Solanum lycopersicum: one gene and its partners. The protein of the gene in region 3 binds, or shares a complex with, the protein of the main gene of each other region. Links are inferred from orthologs where the notes say so. Each region holds a gene or a part of one and is shown on either strand. Other genes may lie near its edges. The genes, in order: sm-like protein LSM8, sm-like protein LSM5, probable U6 snRNA-associated Sm-like protein LSm4 and sm-like protein LSM7.

Region 1 (5,471 bases), on a different chromosome or scaffold from region 3:
TATTTTGTGTGACAAGTCCAATTTTTCGAGTGCATTATACACATTTTTAACAGCAGGGACTAAAACTTCCCACAGTTCAGTATCTCCTCCTCCGAGAACTTCGTTACCAACTGCTATGCCACGAATCAAGGTACCGGGGAGGTAAGGTTGTACGTTTATTTTCACCCATTCAACAGCGCGATCTTCATTCACACTTATGTCCTTGAGAAATTCATTGCCAAGTCCTATGATGATTTGAATTTCAGAATCTTTAAAAGCTGTTAGAACACTATGATCCGCGTCATAGATTCTAACATTCTTTATTTTGTTAGCCCTCAGAAGCGTTACAACGCTTTCTGGGGCTGGGATGTTGTCTGCTATCCTTCCATAATTTATCCCATATGTACCTGTAAATGCATCTGCCACCAAAACTGTGTACAACAAATACCAAAAGAAGTATTAGTACATGGTAAAAAGATGAGTATTTGTTTCTCATCTATGCAAAATATGATCAAAACAACAACTACGTCTCAAATCCTGAGCAAGTTGGGATTTGCTGGCTATATGAATTCTCACTATCCATGTCACTCCATTCAAAATACGTTTATATAAGGGGCGAGTTGGGGGCCAACTTGAAGCTAGGCGCCAACTTAGCATCAATTGGCGTACATATGTTGTAGAATGCATTTTATAACGTTTCTAGCTCAATTGATGCTAATTGGCGCCTATTGAACTTTATTCAATGATTGAGAAGGGTCGGACCACAAGGGTCTATTGTACACAGTCTTACCCTGCATTTCTGCAAGAGACTGTTTCCACATCTCTAACTCATGACCTCATATGGTTACATGATAACAACTTTATGAGTTGCATCAAGACTCCCTTTGAGGACATAGATAGTACAAGTCAAATTATAGTTTGAGATCATGACAATTAAAACCTAAAAAAAGAGCAGAAAAATACCATTAAAGAGAAGAATGAGACAGAGGAATAAAGACAAGTAGGAAGTCATTTTTTTTTTGTTAGTAACATAAATTTTATTCCCAGTTATTAGTAATATATGTAACAAAGATGGTAACTTGGGATACAATGCTTCTCTATTAGGCAAATATGGCATAGTTGATAATCAAAACAATAAAGATTCTAAACTTTAGAATTATGTTTTCTAATGTTGTTTTAGAATTTATTCCAACCTTTTCAAAACAGCCATTAATTTCTTCCCTCTTAATTCTAATGCCTTTATCATATAGCTTTCCTCTTTTTGTCATGTACTTGACTAGCAAAACGAGCTCAGAATTTAAAATATATAAGTTTTGAATTATATACTAAGATATTGAGTGATCGGAACTTGACATAATGTCTCTTATGGAATTTGTTTTTTTTTTATTGGAGAAGTCATTTAGATGTGTTCAGATTTCTAATTATTTAAGTTGTGGATTACTATATGACAAGATAACATATAGGGTCGGAACATGAGAAAATGTAACTTGTGGAATTATTTTCCTTGTCTTCAAAAAAATATTTTTTAAAAGTTTTAATCAAATTTTAAAAAAATTAAGATATGTTTTATACCAATGGCACAGAAAAACAACAACATATTATATATCACAACCTATCAACTTTTACTATAAAAAAAATGGTATAACATATATAAAAAATCTTCATAGAATTTTATAGGGTATAAGATATACAAAAAACCTTTGTAGAATTTTTTAGGGTCTAATGAGGTTCATTTCAACTATGTCTCCACAAGAATTAGTAACACATAGTTTACGAGTCTGTTTGATCAAATAAGTATGATAATTTTGAAATAAAGTGTGAAATTATTTTGTTTAAAATTGTATTTTTGTAAGTATTTTTGATTTAAATTATTTGAATTGAGGATTTTTCATAAATAATTTCTTTATTTCACCAAATTAAGAATAAAGGATGCGTAAATTTTATATTACTTTAATTTCACATACGAAAATCACTAATGAATTTGTTATTTATTCTAATAGTTAGAATTTTGTATACATATGATATACATAATTATACTATACAATACTTGTGATATAATTTTTAATCTCATATCATAATCCCCTCATTCTAATTGAGTGTAGTTAAATCACCTAGATTGCTCTAGGAGGACTACTCCGGCTTAATTTTCATCTATTGAGGAATCAAATCTCAAGATAAGTAAAATATTGAGGACCAAATCAAAGTTTAGACAAAAGTTATAAGGATCACTTGTGTAATTTTACTGAGTACCTACTTTAACGCACGGCGTCTCACTCTCCTCCTCAGTTCGAGTTTCGAGAACTCCTCGACGATTTTTTTTCGCAGGTAAATTACTAATTTTAGGGCTCTTCTTTGCTTTGTAGTAGAAATTATTTGTTTTTCCGATTTCTAAGCTCTTACATGTATTGAATCATCTCCGCCATTTTTTTGTTGCTTCAATTTGATTCGGCTGATATAATTAATATCTGATACGGCGGCAGATTTAATATCGGAATGAACTTTTGTTATTCAGGTACTGTATGAACTGTATATCGAACTTAGAAGACGATACGAGAGTACTGTACTGGAATTTAGGGTTTATATTTATTGGAATGAAATTAATTTGATTATGTTTGTGTTTCTGTACTATGTATGTATTTTGTTCAGCATTCTGATTATAATTTTAATACGATGTGCAAAGTTGGAAAAAAAAAATCAACAGTGTTGAGTATAAATGTTACGGGATTGTGTATTGTTTGCATTTGAAACATTTGTTCCGGTGAGTTCCTGTGGTGTCTAGGCCAGCTTTTGCGCACATGGGATACTTGCCATCTCCCAGGTTCTAGGTGAGTTCAAATGAAGATTATTATTGGATATTTGTTTTTTCGTAATTCTAGAGTCTCTGAATAGTGGAAGTTGTGTTGTTATGCAGAGAAGGAATAATATTGCTTTAGAATTGGTAGAAAATCTTATTGCCCATTTTGGTGTAAAATGGTTCATCCCTTTGCTCGGTGGAATAATCTATCTAGGTTTAATTATGTTGTAAGCTTTTCAACAGGAAAAAAGGGGATATATAGATAGTACTCAAACATTCTGTTTCGTTTTTATGAAACCTAAACTATAGCTTTTGATCTTGGGATTTAAGAAAAAACCATTTAGAAAACTGACTGACTAAAGGTGGATGAGAAAAAGGGATTTGGAAATATTTTATGTTCTGCAAAAATTGACTGTGTTTGCATTACTCCATATCTTTTATTGGTATTAAAGCAAATGACAATATTATGATAATTCCAATCTCTACTCGATTAGGCTGCCTTCAGCTCTTTGTTTGATATTTTCAATGAGTTGTTTCTTCCTAGAAAAATGAGCAAATGCCCCACCCATAAGTTTAGCCAGCAAATTGTTCAAGCCCACATAGCTCTTATATGGCCACATTCTTGCATATTAGTATTATTTATTTTGCTTAAAAGTATTTTAACTTGTGGGCTTCCTTTTATGTTTTGACAAGGTTTTAGCATCAGTTTACCAAGAAGCTGACAACTAAGTTTCAGCTCACTCTGCAACATGGCATCTGGACTTGGGCTTGAGTCTCTTGTTGATCGTACGTGGACTGTCCTTGTATTTATTTTCTGTCTTGCTTGATGAGATTAGCTCATGTTTTAAGGAATAACACTATTTGTTTTCTTTCTTTTGGTGTTTCCAGAAACTATCTCAGTTATTACAAATGATGGACGGAATATTGTGGTGAGACATTGTTTTGCTTTTGTTGCCAAATACTGTGCTGGAGACCCTTTATTTTGCTGACTTCTTGATTCTTTTTCAGGGAGTTCTGAGAGGATTCGACCAGGCTACAAACTTGATTCTTGATGAATCTCATGAGAGAGTATATTCAACAAAGGTTCGTCTGTGTCTTATCTGAAGAATTCATTAATCATGTCTAGACATTTCATTTTAGTAATGGTGTACAGTTATTTATACAAATTACTTCTGAACGACATTTTGATATATGTGGATGTTTCTATTTGGTGCTTGTAGTTTCTAGGATTCTTAGTATTTTCCAGCTCATTAATATTTGCTAGAATTTATTCAGTCATTACATGGTAGTCTAGTCAGTTACTAGAAGTACTTTTTGAATGCCTGAAAATTTGAATTTTCAGGTTCTACTTTCTATCTAAGTAGACAATATTCTCATAAAAAATTGCCAAAGAAAGTACAAAGCAACAAGCAGCATTTAAAAAAGTCCCTCATGGTTGCATAATCTAGGTAATGAAGAGTGAGATTTCATCTTCAATTTGGTTTTTTTTGAAAATCGGGTAACATAATTTTTTCATGGTAGAGTTTGGTTTTCCTCCTTTTTGAGCCGAGGGTCTATCCGAAACAGCCTTTCTACCTCACAAAGGTAGGGGTAAGGTTTGTGTACATCCTACCATCCTCGGACTCCATTTGTGGGATTACACTGGGTATGTTGTTGAGTATGGTTTTCCTGAATGTCGGCGCTGTAGCAGTCTGCAGTAGATGTGAAACAAGATGCTTTGGTATGACTGAAATTGTTTGCTAACTATAGTTTCATGCTATTATGGGCTTTTTTCACATTAAGGTTCCTTTTTTTTTTCCATGCTTATACCCCTATAAGTAAACCTTTTTCCAATTATGCTGTGGTTTATTTGCATTATTGTGCTTGCTGTGTTAAGTACTACTAACCCTTAGCTTTTATTTGCAGGAAGGTGTACAGCAACTTGTGTTAGGTCTTTATATCATAAGGGGAGACAACATGTATGTGCACTGTTTGCTGCCACTTCTTTTTTAAGGATGCATATGGTTCACCTAAAACAAGAATTCCTTTAAGCCCTAATAGGTTTTCCTGTTAAATTGTTGCAGAAGCGTCGTTGGGGAATTAGATGAAGATCTTGATAGTAACTTGGATATGTCAAAACTGAGAGCACATCCTCTAAAGCCAGTCGTTCACTGACCTGCAACTTGGTGTGAGCCTTGTAATCCTGTGAACGGATGATGGATGGATCAAACATCAGTTTAGTTGATAGACTTTGGTACAACTATCAAATGAAAACTTCAGACATGTTATGTAGCTAGGAACACAAACTGTTATAGTTCGTTAGTCGTCGTTATATGTCTTATAAGTTTCCCTTTCTGATATTGGCTTGCGAAAGATTTTGAACTTTGTATAACTATCATATTAAAACTGCAGGCATGTTTCTGTGCCTAAGAGCACAAGCTGTTTTAGTTTACCTCTCATCTTCTGTTTAAGCTGGATAGCCGAACTTAATGTCTCTGTTAAAAAGGTGTTTATTGTTTTTACAGAACGAGAAAATGATCAAATTGGTCCTTAATGTGTGGTAATACTCTTACCTTTCTTAAACTTCATTTATGGACTATGGTCAGAGAATTTTATTGGGTAAAACTCTTAAATGGGTAGAAAGTGATTATTTTTGTCCTAGACCTTGAAGTAACAACTATGCAAGTAAATGTCTTTTTCTTATTAAGTTTAACTAGCA
Region 2 (5,410 bases), on a different chromosome or scaffold from region 3:
TGGTGAAGCCAGAAATTTTAATGAGGGGTTTAAAACTGAAAGTAAACATATGAACTAATGGGAGATTTTTTAACATCTATTATACATAATTAAAAAATTATTTTATAAATAATAATATTTTTTCATCGAGCTGAACTCCCTCATTATATGATGCCTCCGCACCTGCTACGAAGTACTTCAAGAGAAAAAGAAAAAGGAAAACAAATAAATGAACCAAGGAAGTGATTTCATATTAAAATAATTTATTCTGGTATAAGTGTTTTTTTAAAAAGATACTTTTGAGTTTTGAAGAATAATATTTTTGATTGGTCAGAAAAATATATATTTTTGCTAGTATTATTGGAGCAAATTGCGTTTATACAAGTTTTTTTAAAAAGTATTTTTAGATTTTCTGAAAACATTTTATTATTATTATCAAAAATATTTATTTTTTCATTAAAGCTTGATCAAACACACCAATTTTATAGGAAAAAAAATATTATTTTTCTAAAAAAATAAAATAAATACTTTTAATTTCTTAAAAGCACGACAAACTATAATTAGTGAGCTACCAAATTTTGAATATTAAATAAATATATAAATAAAAATAGGAAACAAGAAATGGACCATTTCATTAATTTGAGTTTCAAAATTAAGAGGAATTTAACAAAACTTTAATCACATGACAAAATATCCTCTAAAAAGGTCCCTCTCGTGGCCAAAATCACACCTTATAGCCTACCTAACTTTTCACTAAAGCACAACAACAATAAGTGAAATATCATTCGATAGAGTTTGAAAAGAATAAAATATACGTAAATTTTAATTCGAGTAATAAAAAAAATAATACAACACTTAATAAAATAACAACAAAAAGTCTAAAAAAATAAAATAGTGTATAAGTATTATTACAAGGCCGAGCTAAAGCTTTCACTTAGGGGTATAAAATATGAATAGATAAACATTCGAACTGGTGGAAGCCTTCATATGTTTTCACTTAGGGGTACAAAACTCGAAAGGGGTTCAACATTTATTATTTATACAAAAAAATAATTTTAATCATATATAAACACTCCATCTGTCTCATTTTATGCGATAATTTTCGAATTTCAAGCTTCAAACAAGTCTATCTTTGAACGTAATTTTTTCATAGATCTTTTAAACATTTTAAATTATCAATTATTGTGACTTATAGTATTTTTTTACTTAGTTTATAAATACATCAATTTCATTTCAACAAAATTGAAAATTTCATGCGCAAATTCCCGATCAAACTTAAATTGTTTGACTCTTGAAAAACGAGAAGTACTACATAAATTAGGACATAAAGAATAATATAATTTTCAATCGAAGGGGTTCGGATGACCAACCTGGGCATAAGCTAGCTCCGCCCCTATCAACAGGCACTAACAAGACTAAGCGAGATACTTTCTAACCCATTCAACTATCTACCCGAATATGTAGCATCAACTCCACCTTATCTAAAGTCATGCCCTTAATAATATTTGATTAATTTAGAGTTTTAACTCAATAAATCGTTTCTCAAATTTAAAAATTCATTAATTTTTTTGTGAAAGTTTTAGTTCCGTGATTTATTTTAGGAGTTTAGATTCTATAAGTCGTTTACCCAATTTGAAATTCTAATGAATTTTCGTTATGACTGTCAAAAGATTTTACTCCGTGAATCCTTTTCAGAAGAATTCAATATTCCAACATAATTTCACACCATAATTGTGAAATTTTAAATTAATAAAAAATTTAAACTTCATAATTTTTTTCCGTATAATTTAGAACTCTTAATCAGAACTTCATTATTTCTCGATTACATTCTAAATGATAGTGATACGAAACTTGCTCAATTGACCACAAACTATATCTAACGTAAGTTCTTCCTTGCGATTTATTTTCAAGTTGAGATCGTTTTATCAATCAAGAACAAAAGTTTAAAATCGAACACTTTCAAAGACATCATGCGTAATTTCCTAGTATCCGTTTCCCCAAATTCTCAAATTTAAATGGGCCAAGCCCATATACCTTAAGAAAAGGAAAGGAGAATCTAAGCCCATTATTAAGAGTCTGATATTGGGCCATTGGCAAAATCCAGGCCCAAAAGGCTCAAAGTTTATAAAATGTCAATTTCAACCCTTCAAGAAATCACCCTAAACACAAAAGCCCCTAAAGTTGAACAGTTTTAAGCTATTTCAGTTCACCGCCATTACTCCATTAGAATTTTGTGAGCAAAAGAGAAAAACTTTGTGAAATCTCAATCTCAGCTATGTCTTCGAACAACCCTTCTCAGCTTCTTCCTTCTGGTACTTTCTTTAACTAGATTTTATCAATTGGAACTTTAAGCCTTGTGTCTTTTTGATTTTGTTCTTATTATTATTTTTTTTTAATTAGGGATTTGCTGTAATTTTTGTGTTATTTGGTTATTTTTATGAGATGGGTTTTTGAGTTTATGGGTTTTAATATGCAGAGTTGATTGATCGTTGCATTGGTTCAAAGATATGGGTGATAATGAAGGGTGATAAGGAGCTTGTTGGTACACTTAGAGGATTTGATGTTTATGTTAACATGGTTCTTGAAGATGTTACTGAATAGTAAGTCTTTTGTATCTTTCTTTTCATACTTCTAATGGTGTGGTGGTGCAGTTCTTTTTGTTGATGCTTTTGCTGTTGTTTTGTTAAAGATTGGAACTTTAGGGTTTTGAAATGCTATAATTTTGCCATTGTTTTGTCAATGATTGTGACTTTAGGGTTTTGGAGTGCTAAATGAATTTAGTAGATTTTCAATTGTGTGCATTGGATTTGGAGCAGAGATTGATTAAGTAGACCAGTTTTGTGTACTGTTAGGTGCTCGGTCAAATTTGTCTAGTTCAGAATTGCAATCTGTGCACTTATAAGAGAATTGGGGTTTAGTGTTGTGTGTAGTTGAAAATCATTCAAGAATAAAGTTGTGTGCATTGGATTGCAGAGATTGATTAAGTAGACCAGTTTTGTGTAGTGTTAGGTGCCCGGTCAAATTTGTCTAGTTCAGAATTGCAATCTGTGTACTTATAAGAGAACTGGGGTTGGTGTCGTGTGTAGTTGAAAATGATTCAAGAATATAGTTGTGAACTTTTGGTGAAGTTTGAATACACCAGTTCTTGAAGATGTTACTGAATAGTAAGTCTTTTGTATCTTTCTTTTTATACTTCTAATGGTGTGGTGCAGTTTTTTTTGTTGATGATTTTGATGTTGTTTTGTTGAAGATTGGAAATTTAGGGTTTTAGAATGCTATCATCTTGCCATTGTTTTGTCAAAGATTGTAACTATAGGGTTTTGGAGTGCTAAAGGATTTTAGCATGTTTTCAATTGTGTGCATTGGATTTGGAGCAGAGATTGAATAAGTAGACCAATTTTGTATTGTCTTAGGCGCCTGGTCAAATTTGCCTGAGTTTAGAATTGCAACCTGTGTACTAATAACTGAATTGGGGTTTAGCATCCTAAAGAAAAGGGCAGCCTGGTGCACTAAAGCTACCCTTGTGCATAGGGTTCGGGGTTTAGTGTTCAATGTAGTTAAAAATGATTCAAGAATGAAGTTGTGAACTTTTGGTGAAGTTTGAACAAAAACACCAGTTTTTATGTTAGCTCTGCATAAACGTTAATGCCTGAATATTGATGTTACATAGTTTGTGACATTTGAAAAGTTATCCGTCCTGCTTCTGCCTCATAACTCTGCTATGAGCTATAGTTGAATGGAATATTTGTCACTCCACTGTGCAACTATTTTTCAGTATTTATTTCACTGCCATTTCTATCAAATTTTGTATTACTCCTTTGTTTTGCTTTACTTGAGTTGAAGTTCGTTTGGAAACAGCCTGTCTACCTCCACGAATTAGGGGTAAGGTCTGCGTATACTCTACCATCCTCAGCCCCTGGGTATGTCATTGATGCGGAGGCCTGATCTGTTGCGCTGGGGGACTAAAATTAGCTTTGGTATCTCTATTAGAGTGAGGATTTGGTTTTATTTTAGTACAAATTTAAGATAAATGTTATTTGCATATTCCGTCTTACAGATCTTAAAGGGATCATTGTAAATAGGAATAGTTTCATGAGTTGACACCTAAAGGCTAAAACATACTCCTTGAGTGTAGTAACTTCACGTTCAAAGCAACTTCGTTGTATATCTTGCAACTTTTGATGCTGACTGATTCTTTCTAAAAAAAAACTATCTTTACATATTGAAAATGGAGGTTTTAGGATGCATTCATCTGCTGTATTGACAATTCAGTATAAGATGTGGTCTCTCTTTAAGTCTAGTTTATTATTCGCATAAAAGTTATTATATCCTAAATTTTCAATGAAAAACAGTATGTCCGTCATTTGTAAAGTTCATGTTATTCCCCATCCCAGAATGTAGACAGGTTTATTTTTCCCGGTCATGGGTTATAGTTGAAAAGAGCATTTTATCATTCCTCTGCTTAACAAATTTTCAATCATGTTACAGCGAGATCACTTCTGAAGGGCGGAGGATAACAAAACTTGATCAGATATTGCTCAATGGAAACAACATTGCTATCGTGAGTATAATCTAGCCCTCTCTGACTATAATAGTATTTTCTTTCTTCATTTTTTTCCTTTTTTCATTCGCATAACAATATTGTATCGTGAATATAATCTTTTCCCCCCCTCAATGCAGCTGGTTCCTGGAGGGTCGCCACCTGATGAATGATAACTGCAACGCAACTTGTGCTGTTTAGTGAGACTAGTTGATGAAGATTTCCGCGAGATACATGTATTTTTAGTAATTCTCATGTGTTCAGCTAGGATCTACTATCAATTGTAGTTGCATTATATTGAAAACATTTATGGTGATGATTCTTGCAATGGTACTTTGGCTCTGGTGTTGCCAAGCTATTAGCTTTAAACTCTGTATGGAGTTTCTACAGGAATGGTAAAACTCAAATGGATCGTTGGTTACTGTTGACGATCCATTTTAATTTCTTTGTGCCCCGAGGGTGTAGTCTAATGGTTAATGAAGTGCGTAAAACATCAGGTGATTTCGTCTTGTCTTTGATTAATCTAAATAATAATAAACCAAGCAGGGTAGAGTAAGACTCTTTGCCTTTGCAAATTGTAAATTCAAATTAATCAATTTTTTTTAAGTCCATTTAAAAATATTATACTTTTTTAAAGTAAATATTTAGTTTTAACTTTCTAATTAACACATGTAAGACAACAAATTTTTTTTTTTTTAAAAACACTTTGGTGTATTCTATCTATCTTTTAATTTAACATTACGAAATTGAAAAGTCTTTTTTATTCTTCTTAAACTTAGTCCGTTTACTTTTATTTATTACACTTTGATTTGACACATTTATTAAGTAAATAATTATCGATATAGATATTTCATCAAACTATCCCTTATTAAATGATGTCTCGAAAAAAAA
Region 3 (5,671 bases):
TATTAACTTGGTCAAATGAAGAGCCAAGGGCAGACTAAGCTTCCAGAATTAATGAACTACTGCAAACTCAGTCTCCAACCCCAGTGATAAAAATGAACTATTTAAACAAGTCAACACAAGTAGGCATGTCCATTAAAATATATATAATCAAGAATATCTACAAAGCTTAACCTCTCAGTAAATAATGTTGCAATACTAAAGTTATTCTATGTATAAAAGAAAAGGCAATCTGCATTCTTTTCCATTTTCGTAGAAGTGAAAGTGTAAATCTGCCATTTACATCTGAAAGGATATAGAGAATTTTCATTTTACAGGTTACTTCTATCTGTTAACATTATGACCTTCTAAAAGAAAATGTGAGCTGCCCATGAAAACTCTTCTCACCTACATCTCCTTTACAAACTCCCCCCCCCCCCCCCCATGTGTCCAAACAAAGGAGAAGTACAGAAGATTAGGATAACAGCTGTATTCAAACATCATCTCCCTTCCTAGATAGTACTGAAAGCCCACACAAACAAAAAGAAAAGCATCTAAGGAATTAAACACTGGGAAAAGATGGTTCTTGGCACTCCTAGAAGATCAACAAAAGGATAACTTCCAAAACTCAAAGGTCATTCCTGAATCAACTATGAATGTGTGGAAGGTGAATGGACGAGAGAAGCTAGGATAACTTCCCATATGTGCCTGTCATGAACTATAAAAAACAGGGCAGAAGAGTGAATCTCTAGGAAGAAATTAGAAGCAGAAAGCAGGGGCCGCCACTTTATTTAGTCAAAAGTGCAAATGTTATATTTCACATGGAAGCTCGTCATCGCTAAAGCAATCTCTCATTGCCATCTTCATAGAGTCACACTCCTACCTAAGGTGTCAGATTCAACGGTCCATAGGGAGCACAACAATGTCTGATTTGGCTAAATTGCATCACATCAGCGTAATCAATTCTCCTCTTACAAGAATGTGCTACTCACAGTCACGGGGAAATAAACACAGTGGACTACAGGCATGCAAGAAAGAACAACATCAATAGTGGTTCAACCTAATGATATCTAACATTTTATAAAAAAAATTTGTATAGGATATCTGATATAAAATAAGCCATTAATATTGGAAAATAATTACTTAGAACTAAGAATTATCCAACTTCCGAATCTTAAATGAAAACCACTTGGCTACACATCTTATTTGAGAAGAACACTATGTTCAAAGTCTAAAACACTAATGGTCCAACCACAGCAATGATTTCACTTCAAGAAACCTATTTTATCGGTCGAAAAGAGGCAACAAGAATATTGGATGCATTTATATTAACCCTATAGGAACATCAGAGTTGTGTTGTAAGTTCAACCTTCAGTTTCCTCCATTTTTCCTTAGACATGTGTTACTGCTGATACCTCTTTTAACTTTCTACCCGGTTCTCTATGCTTTCCAGCTCTGATTCCAAGTATGCCATAGTTAAGTTTAGCCCCATAGGCCCAGACACCACAGATTAGCTAGTAACATAACTTCAGCCTACAACAACACTACTGAAACCCACCCCTAAAAGCCCCATTGAGTAAAGTAACCAGAGAAGTATATCCATGAGTCTGATCACACCAAGATTAGCTAGTATCTTGAGTCCACCTACCTACATCAAACCAAGCCCCTAAATGCACCACGATAAAGGTGTTAATGGACCGTCCTCCGTGTTACGTACAAGATGTTATTAAGTAAACTAAAATGTGTTCTCCCTAACAACTTAAGCTTTTACATCAGATTATCACACATTTCACATCTCAACATAGTGCAATTCTCAACCACCCCATTATCAGCAAATAAGTTGTGAGCTTGGCACAGGAAAAAAAATTCAGGCCTGCATGTTAGGAGGCGTGTAAAAAAATATTTATTGTGTATATTAACGTGTAATCGCTATGACAACTAAAGATTGTTCAAACTCATTGTCATGTTGGGTGATAGCACTAAAGCAAGTATTTAAGTCCCAGTTAATTAAGTAGAAACTGCCATTCCACAACTAGTATACAAATTTTACAGTCACCCCTGCCAAGCGACCATTTAATAACACAAATAACTACTGCAAAATAGGCACCCATCTTCTGTTCCCTTAGTACAAGGTCCAAACGTTCCATACACACTATGTTGCAAGTGAAAAAGCGAATAATACTACACAAAAGCATTATTAATCATAGCAATTAAGAAAACGAACTAACCTCGTCAGGAACTCTAAGATACTTTATGGTATTGCCACGAATATAACATTCAGGCATTCTCCAAAATCTATCTCCATCCTGCATTGATTTTTCAAAATCATGTGGTCTTGCACCAATACATTTGAAAACCTAGCAATAACATATTTAATAAACAATGAATTACCTTTGACGTACAGATAACTTCACGAAGATGGATATTCATCCAAGTATCACAATTCACCAAATGACCATTATAAGTCTCTCCATTTTTTAGTTCCACCAGCTGTATTAGAAAACAAAAGTTTCCAGATTAAGATAATTGAACAAATACAATCAACTTAAACAACGATAATCCCATACAAAATCTCAAAATCCCTGGAATCTCGTGGATTCCAGAAACTTGTGGCATATTTTGGAGATACTATATAAATAAGCAGAAACTTGATAAACTATACCAACAAAAAATCTGTTGCCTTTAAGAATGTTAGCCAAAAGCCTCAACTAACAACTGGACAAAACATGAAATCATTATTGTTATTCTCCAGGAGAATTACACTCCTGTATACCTATAACTACTTTATTCACCGGGTTTGTTGTTTTTGTATGTTATTCATAAGTTCAGGTTCATTCGAAACATGCAGCACTTGAAAAACCTAATTGAGCTAACTGCATTACCACACCGAAAAGAATTAAGATCAGACTAAACAATAAACAAGAAAGAGAGAAACAAAATAAGGAGACACTACCCCTCTTCCACATGAATTCAAAAGCTTACCATGGGATGCCCCTGTGCAGTCTTGAGCAAAGAGAGGGGAAGCTGAGACAGAAGAAAAAATAAAATTAGAGCTTCATAAGAACTCAAAACCCTAAACCTACAGCTCAGAAAGCGATTGTCGCTAAACCTACCATCTTTAGATGGGGGAAGTTCCGAATTCAAGATTGCCTGCAAAAGTCAAAACACACGGATTACCAATACAACAAAAAACTGATCCCGAAGAACTGCGCACACACACACAAAAAAAAAAAACACTTAAATCTGTAAATTCTCTCTTTCTTTACATTCAAAACCTAGGCACACTTAAATCTATAAATTCTCTCTTCTTTACAATCAAAACCTAGATAGTGCATAGTTTATACGCATAATCTTTGCTAATACATATAAGATATTCAAAGCCTTACCTAGCTTGATCTTCGTCTTTTTCCTCCCTTTTGTTGAAAAAGAAAAAGAAAAACGAAAGCGTTAAGGTTCGTAGATTAAACTTGAACTGTAGCAAGTGGAGTCCAGCTTTATTGTAAATTGAAAATTTTCTGTTGTACCGCCGTTAGGGCTATCAAGTATGAATTGGGTGGGCTCCACGTTTCATGGGCTGTAAATTGAATTGTCTACTACTTTCATTTTCACCTTTTTTTTAAACTAATATTTAACAGGATAAGTTTAGTAAAATAAATTATAAAATTAAATAGATGACATGCATATATTAAATAAATATAAATATCATATTCTTTATTAATTTACGAATATAGATTTCTTTATTCTTAAAATCAACTTCAATTTAATTTGTTTTTTTAGAAAATCAACTCAACTCAATTCTTTTTTTTATATATTCTAAATAGGATTTATTTATTTCTTTTCAATATTATATTTTTATTTCTATTTTATTCTTATTTTCATAAGAGAAATTATTGCTTCTTTTTTTGTTCTTAAAATAATCACTTTATGGGGTAATTTTTATGTGATATAATTTTTTATTTTTTAAAATAATTTTTAATGTAAAATTATATTTTATTCTAAATTTTTAAATAACATAAATTACAATAAAGTATTATATAATATAAAAATTAAAGCACAATTCGAATAAAAGTGAAATCATTAATGAAATACAATTACATAAACATTACATAAATATTCAACTTTCAAGATTATTATGTTACTCCCCAAATTGCTCTAATAAGAGCAACTTTCACATATCGTAATACAAAATTCAAATTTGTATGCTATAGCAAAGTTTGCATAATTGCACTCTATAGCAAACATAAATATGTATAATTTCTAAACATGTACAAAGAAACCAATTGTATAATTCACTATACATATACAAAAGAAAGCAGTTGTATACAAATCAATTGTATAATTTGTGTATGTATAAAACGAGAAATAGAGAAAGACAAAGGAAATTTGGGCAGAGGAATATTTGTATTGTATAATTATAAGTGTATAGCATGAAGATATATGTATTTGCAAGTTTATATACAATTTTCTCTCACTTTATACAAACAGAAACACAATTTACACATTTCATTTATGTTTGTATAAGCGAAGGTAGCGAGCGAGATATGGGAGAGTAGCGAGCGAGAACGGAGAGCGGGGAAAGAAAATGTATGTATATATACAATTTTTTTTTACTTTATAAAAACAGAATTGCATCTTATAAACTTGTGTTTGTATAAAAGTGAGAGGGAGCAAGTCGAGAGAGGAAAAGTGGCGAGCAAGAATTTGAGGAAAGAGATGACTAACAAACAGTTTGCTACAGGGTACAATTAAATTAAAGTATAGTTATAGCATTTAATTTGATTTATTAGTTTACCAATATATACAATTTTTCCTTGTAACAATGCACTATGGAGTTCAAAATTAATATTTTTATCCTTAATTTTTACGTAACTAAAAATAGTTCAAATTAGAAATTTTCATCTACCACAAACTATTGTACAATTAGAGTAGCTATATCCGAACAACAAGACGACGTAAGGCTAAATAGATATGTCAAACTCAAGGAAGTTATATAAGAAAATAAAATTTTAATATAATTTTAGAAGTTATTAGTGATATAAATGTTCGTAATTACGTGCAAAAAGAACAACTATAAATAATTGAAAAAAGAACTCGATATGCACAATCGCAGTAATAACAAATTTTTGGCCCATACATTGTTTTTCCCAGAATATAGCTAAATCTAAAAATGACCTATTGAATTACTAAATTATCGTTATGATAAATAAGTTATTATGTTATTTATGATATTGTTATTTTTGTATTTAAACTATTATCTTATGTATTGTACTTTTACGTAGTAATTAAATGATTATCTTATGTATTAGACTATTATCTTATATTTAAATTATTGTGTATGCATTGTATTTTTTAAATTAGAATTTTCATCTCATCATTTTAATGGTACTTTCTTTATAGTGAAAATTAATAATGAAATTAAATTATATTAGTGACGATTTTTTTAAATTTGAAACATTATCAATTCGAAATGAATATAGTATATATTAAAATAATATATTTTTAAACGTATCATATTACATTTTTAAAAATTACGAATATTAGATATTTAAGTGATAACATTATATGTAAAATAATATGTTAATTATATAATAATAAAAATAACAATAAAGTGGTTATTCAAATTTGTAAAACTAATATTCACCTCTCTGAAAATAAAGAATATAGATTAAAATAAAGAGGAGCCGGAGTGTCTTTT
Region 4 (5,653 bases), on a different chromosome or scaffold from region 3:
CATATTAAACATACGAAAACGCATCTGTATATATACCAAATATGCGGGGAGATGGTGGCATGAAAGCTATTACAAAAGTGAGTTAGTAATAACAGAAGTTTGAGGGTATTATTGATCTCGTAACCACGAAATAGAAGGATTCAAGTAAATCTTGATCATAATACAAAGATCAGATAACAAGGTGAACAGAGAAGGTAACCAGCTTAATATTCTAGTAAGGTTACTCACCACAATAAAATTACGCCATGCTGAAATATCAGACGCCATTGAAGAGACTGATTCAATAAATTCATGGACAACATTTTTAATACTGTCAAGTGACAAGCTTCTTCCATTTCCCCCATCTTCTTGGCCCGAGTCTAGCAACAATAACACCTTGAGGATGAAGGTGCCAGCGTACATTAAGGAAGTCAATGTAAGAGGAAAGACGACAGCTTGCCACTGTTTTAAACATAAAATTGCATTTCAGCAATCAGTCACCCTTTCTCAATCTGCGAGTCATAAAAGAGCAGAACTTGATAACAACCACATGCAAAGCATTGTCGCATGCAAAAAAAACTAATCCAGCACAGATATGATACTTACGATATGATCCAATCTGATGCCATAAACACCTGAAAGGTGAGATTTACCCCACTGAATCTGAAAGATTGAAAAATTGTATTAGACTCAGAATACAAGAGGAAGTTACTAGTAAAGTACTCTTTGCAGAGAAGCTCCAAAACCAATAATTCGTTCATAGATGAATGTAAAACTAATATAAGTCCTTGCTTCCAGCAAATGGTTTATTTCCCGTTTGCTATAGATTTTGAAGTTGAAACTTTAAACTTTAAACTTAAAAAATGAGTTTTCAAAGTGATTTTACAATTTGGAGTTGTGTTTGGATTTGCATTTTACTTGGAAAAAGTTTGAAGTTTTGTCCGAGGAAGTCGCCAAAACAAAAAAAGACTGGTGTGACCCATTCTTTGGGACGTCAAAATATTTAAAGAACAGATTTTAATCATGGCCAAACAGATATCAGATAAATTTTCAAAAACAACTTTCAAAATCAATGTCCAAATGCTAGCAAAGTATTTCGTATAAGAGGTGCATAAGAGATGATACATATTCTAACTGAGAATTAAAATGGAAATATACACATACATACAAAGAGAATCAGAATGCTCAGAGGAGACATCATGCTCCTACTTTAGCATCTTTTAACACTTCGCTTTGCTAAACTAAATAAGCTAGATTTCTCATATGCTCACTCAATTAATAGTTTAAAAAACCAAAAAATCCGAAAAGTCCACAACAAGCATGAGTTTCTGAGATAATAATTATTAGTTGTATTAACAAAATTACTCCGATCCTGTAACATAGCAACACAGAAAACGATATATTGAGCAACAGCAAAAAAAAAATTCAATCAAAGGTCAGAAAATGCTATAAAATTAGTACATGATGAAGGAATCTTACAGGGAGGAGAAGAGAGCAAGCAATAAGTGAGGTAACAGATGAAATTGCAGCGCATATGAACCGTCGAATCAAATACGATTGAAACGAATCTGGCGGCGGTAATCGGAGAATCAACGTCGGAGCATATAAGATCGCAACATACAAAATTGCCATCGCAGTGCACGCAATCACTGCAAGCGATTTCGACACATCACCACCGCCGTCTCCGCCGCCGATGAATGCTACTTCCATCGTCGCCGGATTTTCAGACGGATTTATTAGCAAATAATAATAATAATACATAAATTACAACACAAATTCGTTAAACAAAAAACACTGCTAAATAGTTTTATATTTTTGCTTTGATGGAAGAAATTAGTATTTTTATTTTAGCATGGGTAGTTTCGTCAATTACAACTTATAAGTTTGATTTTCGATGTAATCATTACGTAACTTAGATTATTATTATATTAAAACTAGTATAATAAAAACAATATATCACTTTAAATTTTTTAATCTAAAAATCATATGAAAAAATCTTAAAATATATGGTAAGATTTTATAGGCTAGATAAACGTTAAATTGTTTTATGAAAATGAGAATTATACGAGAAAATTATTAAATTCGAGTCTAATATTATCTAATAAGATGATTTTTAAGAGCTAATTTTTTAAAACAAAAACAAAATCTAAATATTGATCTAAAGAAAAGAAACAACAACAATATTACAAATAAACTCAATATAATTCTATAAGTGATAAAATAATAATTCTATAAGTTACATATGAAAATTATACGTGGTGCATACATAACCTTATTTGTACGTTGTGAAAGTAAACAGATTGTTTTTGATGACCCGAGAAAGGACATAATGGGTAAACCGGCCCAAATTCTCAACCCCATAGCCCATAGATAATAGGGGACGCAATAGGCCCAAATATAAAATACCTAACCCAATCAGTTTTACTGATCCCAGTAGAAATTAGGGTTTCTTCTCTCCGTCGCCGTTGATACGGTTGTTGCCGGTGGTGCTCCGACAGTTCAGTAATTCCCGTCGGAATTCTCGTTCTATCTAGGTAAGTTTTTGCCTTAATTTTTTCTTAAGTTTATAGAGATTAGAGATATGATTTGGAAAAATTCAATCTTTAGTTGTTCTAGTTCGCCTTTGAAGTTCTGATTTTTACTTATGATTTCTGAACTTTTATATGCTTTGTTTTCTTTCATTATTGCATTGTTGTTGCTGAGTATTAACTACTTAATTGTTTCATGTTGTTTTAATTTTGTGCTTGTTTCCTGTTATTTTTGAAGAATTTATTTTATGTCTCCTAGTCGAATATTCTGCTGTTTCAATCTCTTCTTGCTCGTTAGTTGTTTTTCTGTCCTTTGAATAATTTCTCGTTTAATTGTGTGCTCGTTTATCGTTTTGGTCTCCTTGTTTGTTTAATTGTGTACTCCTTAGTTGTTTTTGTCTCCTTGTTTGTTGAATTGTGTGCTCGTTAGTCGTTTCAACTGATGGAGCCCTTCAGCGCTGTAACACCCCTTGCATCCTGATCACGGTCTTCATATAATTTTGCTGATATTGTGGCCTTGACCTCTCTTCATTCCTTCCCTTCCTTTTGTGTCAAGATCATATTGGGGTTTTTCACCCAATGGTGAAGCTTAATGATCAATGACGTGTGTTGAGCACGATGAGGGTCTTGTATTCAAATTCGGTTGGTATAAAACACTAGTTGGTTTCTTCTCATCTATTTTAGCCTTGGTAGATATAATTGCCTTGCACTATAATGTGCGCTATAATGCCCCTTGCTTCATGATTGCAGTCCTTTTTGGTCTGTTATAATGCTGGGGTAGTGTCCTTGACCTCTCTTTCTTCCCTTTTGAGTTGTGTCAAGATCATCTTGGTTTGCTTTTGCACCCGTGGGTTGGCTTAGTTGTCAATGAATTGGGTAGTGCACTATGAGATTTCAATTTCAAATCCCAACAGAGACAAAATATTAGTTGATTTTATCCATTTGTTCTAGCCATGGTTGATAAAGTTTCCTGGCACTAGGTGTGCAAGCTTGTTCAGACAGCATGGCTATCAAAAAACAATAATTTGCTTTCTTCCTGCAATCTGTAGTACTTGAGTTGTGAGATATTGGTATGTGTTGTCATCATTAAATCACATTAGGAGGCTAACAATTATTAGAAAGCATATATCTGTATCTACTCTATACAAGTAAGTTTGCTGGACGGTGAGCTCATTTTTTTCTACTACATGTTTTTCTATTGCAGGATATATCCACCTTGTTGTAGCAATTTTTCTCCATTAGTTGGATAAAGAAAGCTCTTTAGACAAACAGAAGAAATGGTATGTTCTCACTTACACTATAGCCAGTAATTTGACAAAATTATCCTACTACTATCTAATTTACATAGTTTCTTGACTACATCTTCATAAAAAAACATTGTTTCTTGATTACATAAAAAAACTCACTTATCTAAATAGGGGTAAAGTTGGATTATGTAAGTGGACGCTTATGTTTGAACCAAGATTAAGGTTAAGTGGACATACATTTTGAACCGGACGGAGTACCTATTTTTGTAAAAGTAGTTCAAAGCTTTCTAGATTTTCTAAGTTTGGATAGAAAGAGGAAAGAAGAAAAAGATTCTTAAGGTATTTGTTGATGAGAGGGAGGTGAAAGGGTTAACTGTTACCTGCTAGTTAAGGTGTAGTCATGTTTTTTATGCAACAGCAAGGAGGAAATGTGTAAATTCTTTTATTGAATTTCAGTTGGCGTAGTTACCTCATACACTTTCTTGTTTCTCTGTTCAGTCTGGCAGGAAAGAAACAGTTTTAGATTTGGCAAAATTTGTTGACAAGGGTGTGCAAGTCAAGCTTACTGGTGGAAGACAAGGTGCGTCATGCAATGTCTGTCATTCATTACTCATAAGAATGCTCATCCACTCAAACACACCTTCCCTTGTCAAAACAATTTATTCCTCTCTATTTGCCAGTTGTGACTTGTTTTACCTCTTTGTCATGCTCTCTTGCTGTTGCTTGTGGAGTTATGTTGTTGATACTTGATACGTCATCATATAGTCAATCTGGACTCTGGGTTGTGAGTTGCACAAATTGCAATCTTTTTCTTTTCTGCTGATTAATTCTGTCTTCACAGTGGTTGGAACACTTAAAGGCTATGACCAGCTGCTTAATCTTGTCTTAGATGAAGCCGTGGAGCACCTTAGAGGTAACAATATTATCATAGCTAAATTTCGGAGTTTAAATTGTTTTAAATGGTGGTCAGTCGAGGAAATGTATTGTTTCGTGACTCTCATGTTCTGCATTATGTTAGCGTCCACAAGTTTTGCGTGTCTGCGCTGATACTGTATATTTGTTTTATCATTTTGTTAAGTGAAAATAATCTTTTCCTTGAAATCCCTTCATTATTTTTCAGTAGAATGGAGCAGCAAATTGCTTAATTAGATACTTGCTACTCATCATTTTGTGGAATTCCATTTGTTGTACAGTTGATGATTTTAAACTTTTTTTCCATAGATGCTGATGATCCCCTGAAGACTACTGATCAGAAACGAAGTCTTGGCTTAATAGTATGTGTTCTATATATTCTCTCAAAGAACATATTCTTTTAAAGAAATATCGTAACATTGGTTCAAGAATGTATTACAGCCTATGTTGCTCGCACTCTCCATGTCAGATGTTCCAAAAGTATACTATTTTTGGAGGATACGAGATGCACTGCATTTATGAAGAGTCCGAGCAACTTAGATTGCTACTATGGTTAGGTAATGTGGAAGGTAATCATAAATTTGACCTCTTTTCTCTGCTTCTTGCCTTCCTTCCACACACAGGTCTGTAGGGGTACTGCAGTAATGCTCGTGGCTCCAACTGATGGTACAGACGAGATATCCAATCCTTTTGTTCAGCCAGACGGGGCATAGAAGAATCAAACCTTGTTATTTCGAATTTAGCTCAACTGTAATGCTGTAAACATTCTGCACCTTTGCCTTCTATTTGCTAATATTTACTGTTTCTATTAGAGAAAATGCTTCTTCTTCTAGCAAAGCTGTAACTGCTCCTGCTGCGTTTTCATTTTTCTTGTTGATGTAAAGTCATATTAGTTCCCATTTCACCTGTGACAATGCCAGACATGTATCAAACATCGATTTCTGGCTTCACTATTTCTCGATTTGTGCCTGTCATTCTTGATGGATC

Evidence for each region.
Region 1: probable U6 snRNA-associated Sm-like protein LSm4 (region 3) and sm-like protein LSM8 share a complex: the UniProt entries of both Arabidopsis thaliana proteins name them as parts of the heptameric LSM2-LSM8 complex. The link is inferred for Solanum lycopersicum from reciprocal best matches to the Arabidopsis thaliana genes emb1644 and LSM8.
Region 2: probable U6 snRNA-associated Sm-like protein LSm4 (region 3) and sm-like protein LSM5 share a complex: the UniProt entries of both Arabidopsis thaliana proteins name them as parts of the heptameric LSM1-LSM7 complex. The link is inferred for Solanum lycopersicum from reciprocal best matches to the Arabidopsis thaliana genes emb1644 and SAD1.
Region 4: probable U6 snRNA-associated Sm-like protein LSm4 (region 3) and sm-like protein LSM7 share a complex: the UniProt entries of both Arabidopsis thaliana proteins name them as parts of the heptameric LSM1-LSM7 complex. The link is inferred for Solanum lycopersicum from reciprocal best matches to the Arabidopsis thaliana genes emb1644 and EMB2816.

The regions. Positions count from the first base shown.
Region 1 is NC_090805.1:47,956,425-47,961,895, reverse strand, and holds sm-like protein LSM8, read left to right. Parts: upstream 1-2,165; 5' UTR 2,166-2,304; intron 2,305-2,459; exon of another isoform or gene 2,460-2,804; intron 2,805-3,466; 5' UTR 3,467-3,522; coding exon 3,523-3,559; intron 3,560-3,661; coding exon 3,662-3,702; intron 3,703-3,781; coding exon 3,782-3,856; intron 3,857-4,678; coding exon 4,679-4,731; intron 4,732-4,836; coding exon 4,837-4,927; 3' UTR 4,928-5,204; downstream 5,205-5,471. Other genes in the region: glucan endo-1,3-beta-glucosidase 14, read right to left, coding at 1-410, 943-991. UniProt on the Arabidopsis thaliana protein: Component of the nuclear LSM2-LSM8 complex which is involved splicing nuclear mRNAs. LSM2-LSM8 binds directly to the U6 small nuclear RNAs (snRNAs).
Region 2 is NC_090808.1:68,244,917-68,250,326, reverse strand, and holds sm-like protein LSM5, read left to right. Parts: upstream 1-2,107; 5' UTR 2,108-2,254; coding exon 2,255-2,291; intron 2,292-2,455; coding exon 2,456-2,579; intron 2,580-4,467; coding exon 4,468-4,540; intron 4,541-4,659; coding exon 4,660-4,692; 3' UTR 4,693-4,963; downstream 4,964-5,410. UniProt on the Arabidopsis thaliana protein: Component of LSM protein complexes, which are involved in RNA processing. Component of the cytoplasmic LSM1-LSM7 complex which is involved in mRNA degradation by promoting decapping and leading to accurate 5'-3' mRNA decay.
Region 3 is NC_090800.1:85,774,025-85,779,695, reverse strand, and holds the start of probable U6 snRNA-associated Sm-like protein LSm4, read right to left. Parts: upstream 3,569-5,671; 5' UTR 3,363-3,568; intron 3,127-3,362; 5' UTR 3,093-3,126; coding exon 3,090-3,092; intron 3,001-3,089; coding exon 2,959-3,000; intron 2,467-2,958; coding exon 2,368-2,466; intron 2,283-2,367; coding exon 2,205-2,282; intron 931-2,204; exon of another isoform or gene 814-930; intron 1-813. UniProt on the Arabidopsis thaliana protein: Component of LSM protein complexes, which are involved in RNA processing. Component of the cytoplasmic LSM1-LSM7 complex which is involved in mRNA degradation by promoting decapping and leading to accurate 5'-3' mRNA decay.
Region 4 is NC_090808.1:3,547,069-3,552,721, forward strand, and holds sm-like protein LSM7, read left to right. Parts: upstream 1-2,281; 5' UTR 2,282-2,513; intron 2,514-3,711; 5' UTR 3,712-3,784; coding exon 3,785-3,787; intron 3,788-4,252; coding exon 4,253-4,334; intron 4,335-4,595; coding exon 4,596-4,667; intron 4,668-4,975; coding exon 4,976-5,028; intron 5,029-5,107; coding exon of another isoform or gene 5,108-5,188; exon of another isoform or gene 5,189-5,289; coding exon 5,290-5,379; 3' UTR 5,380-5,619; downstream 5,620-5,653. Other genes in the region: CAAX prenyl protease 2, read right to left, coding at 229-441, 586-642, 1,459-1,740. UniProt on the Arabidopsis thaliana protein: Component of LSM protein complexes, which are involved in RNA processing. Component of the cytoplasmic LSM1-LSM7 complex which is involved in mRNA degradation by promoting decapping and leading to accurate 5'-3' mRNA decay.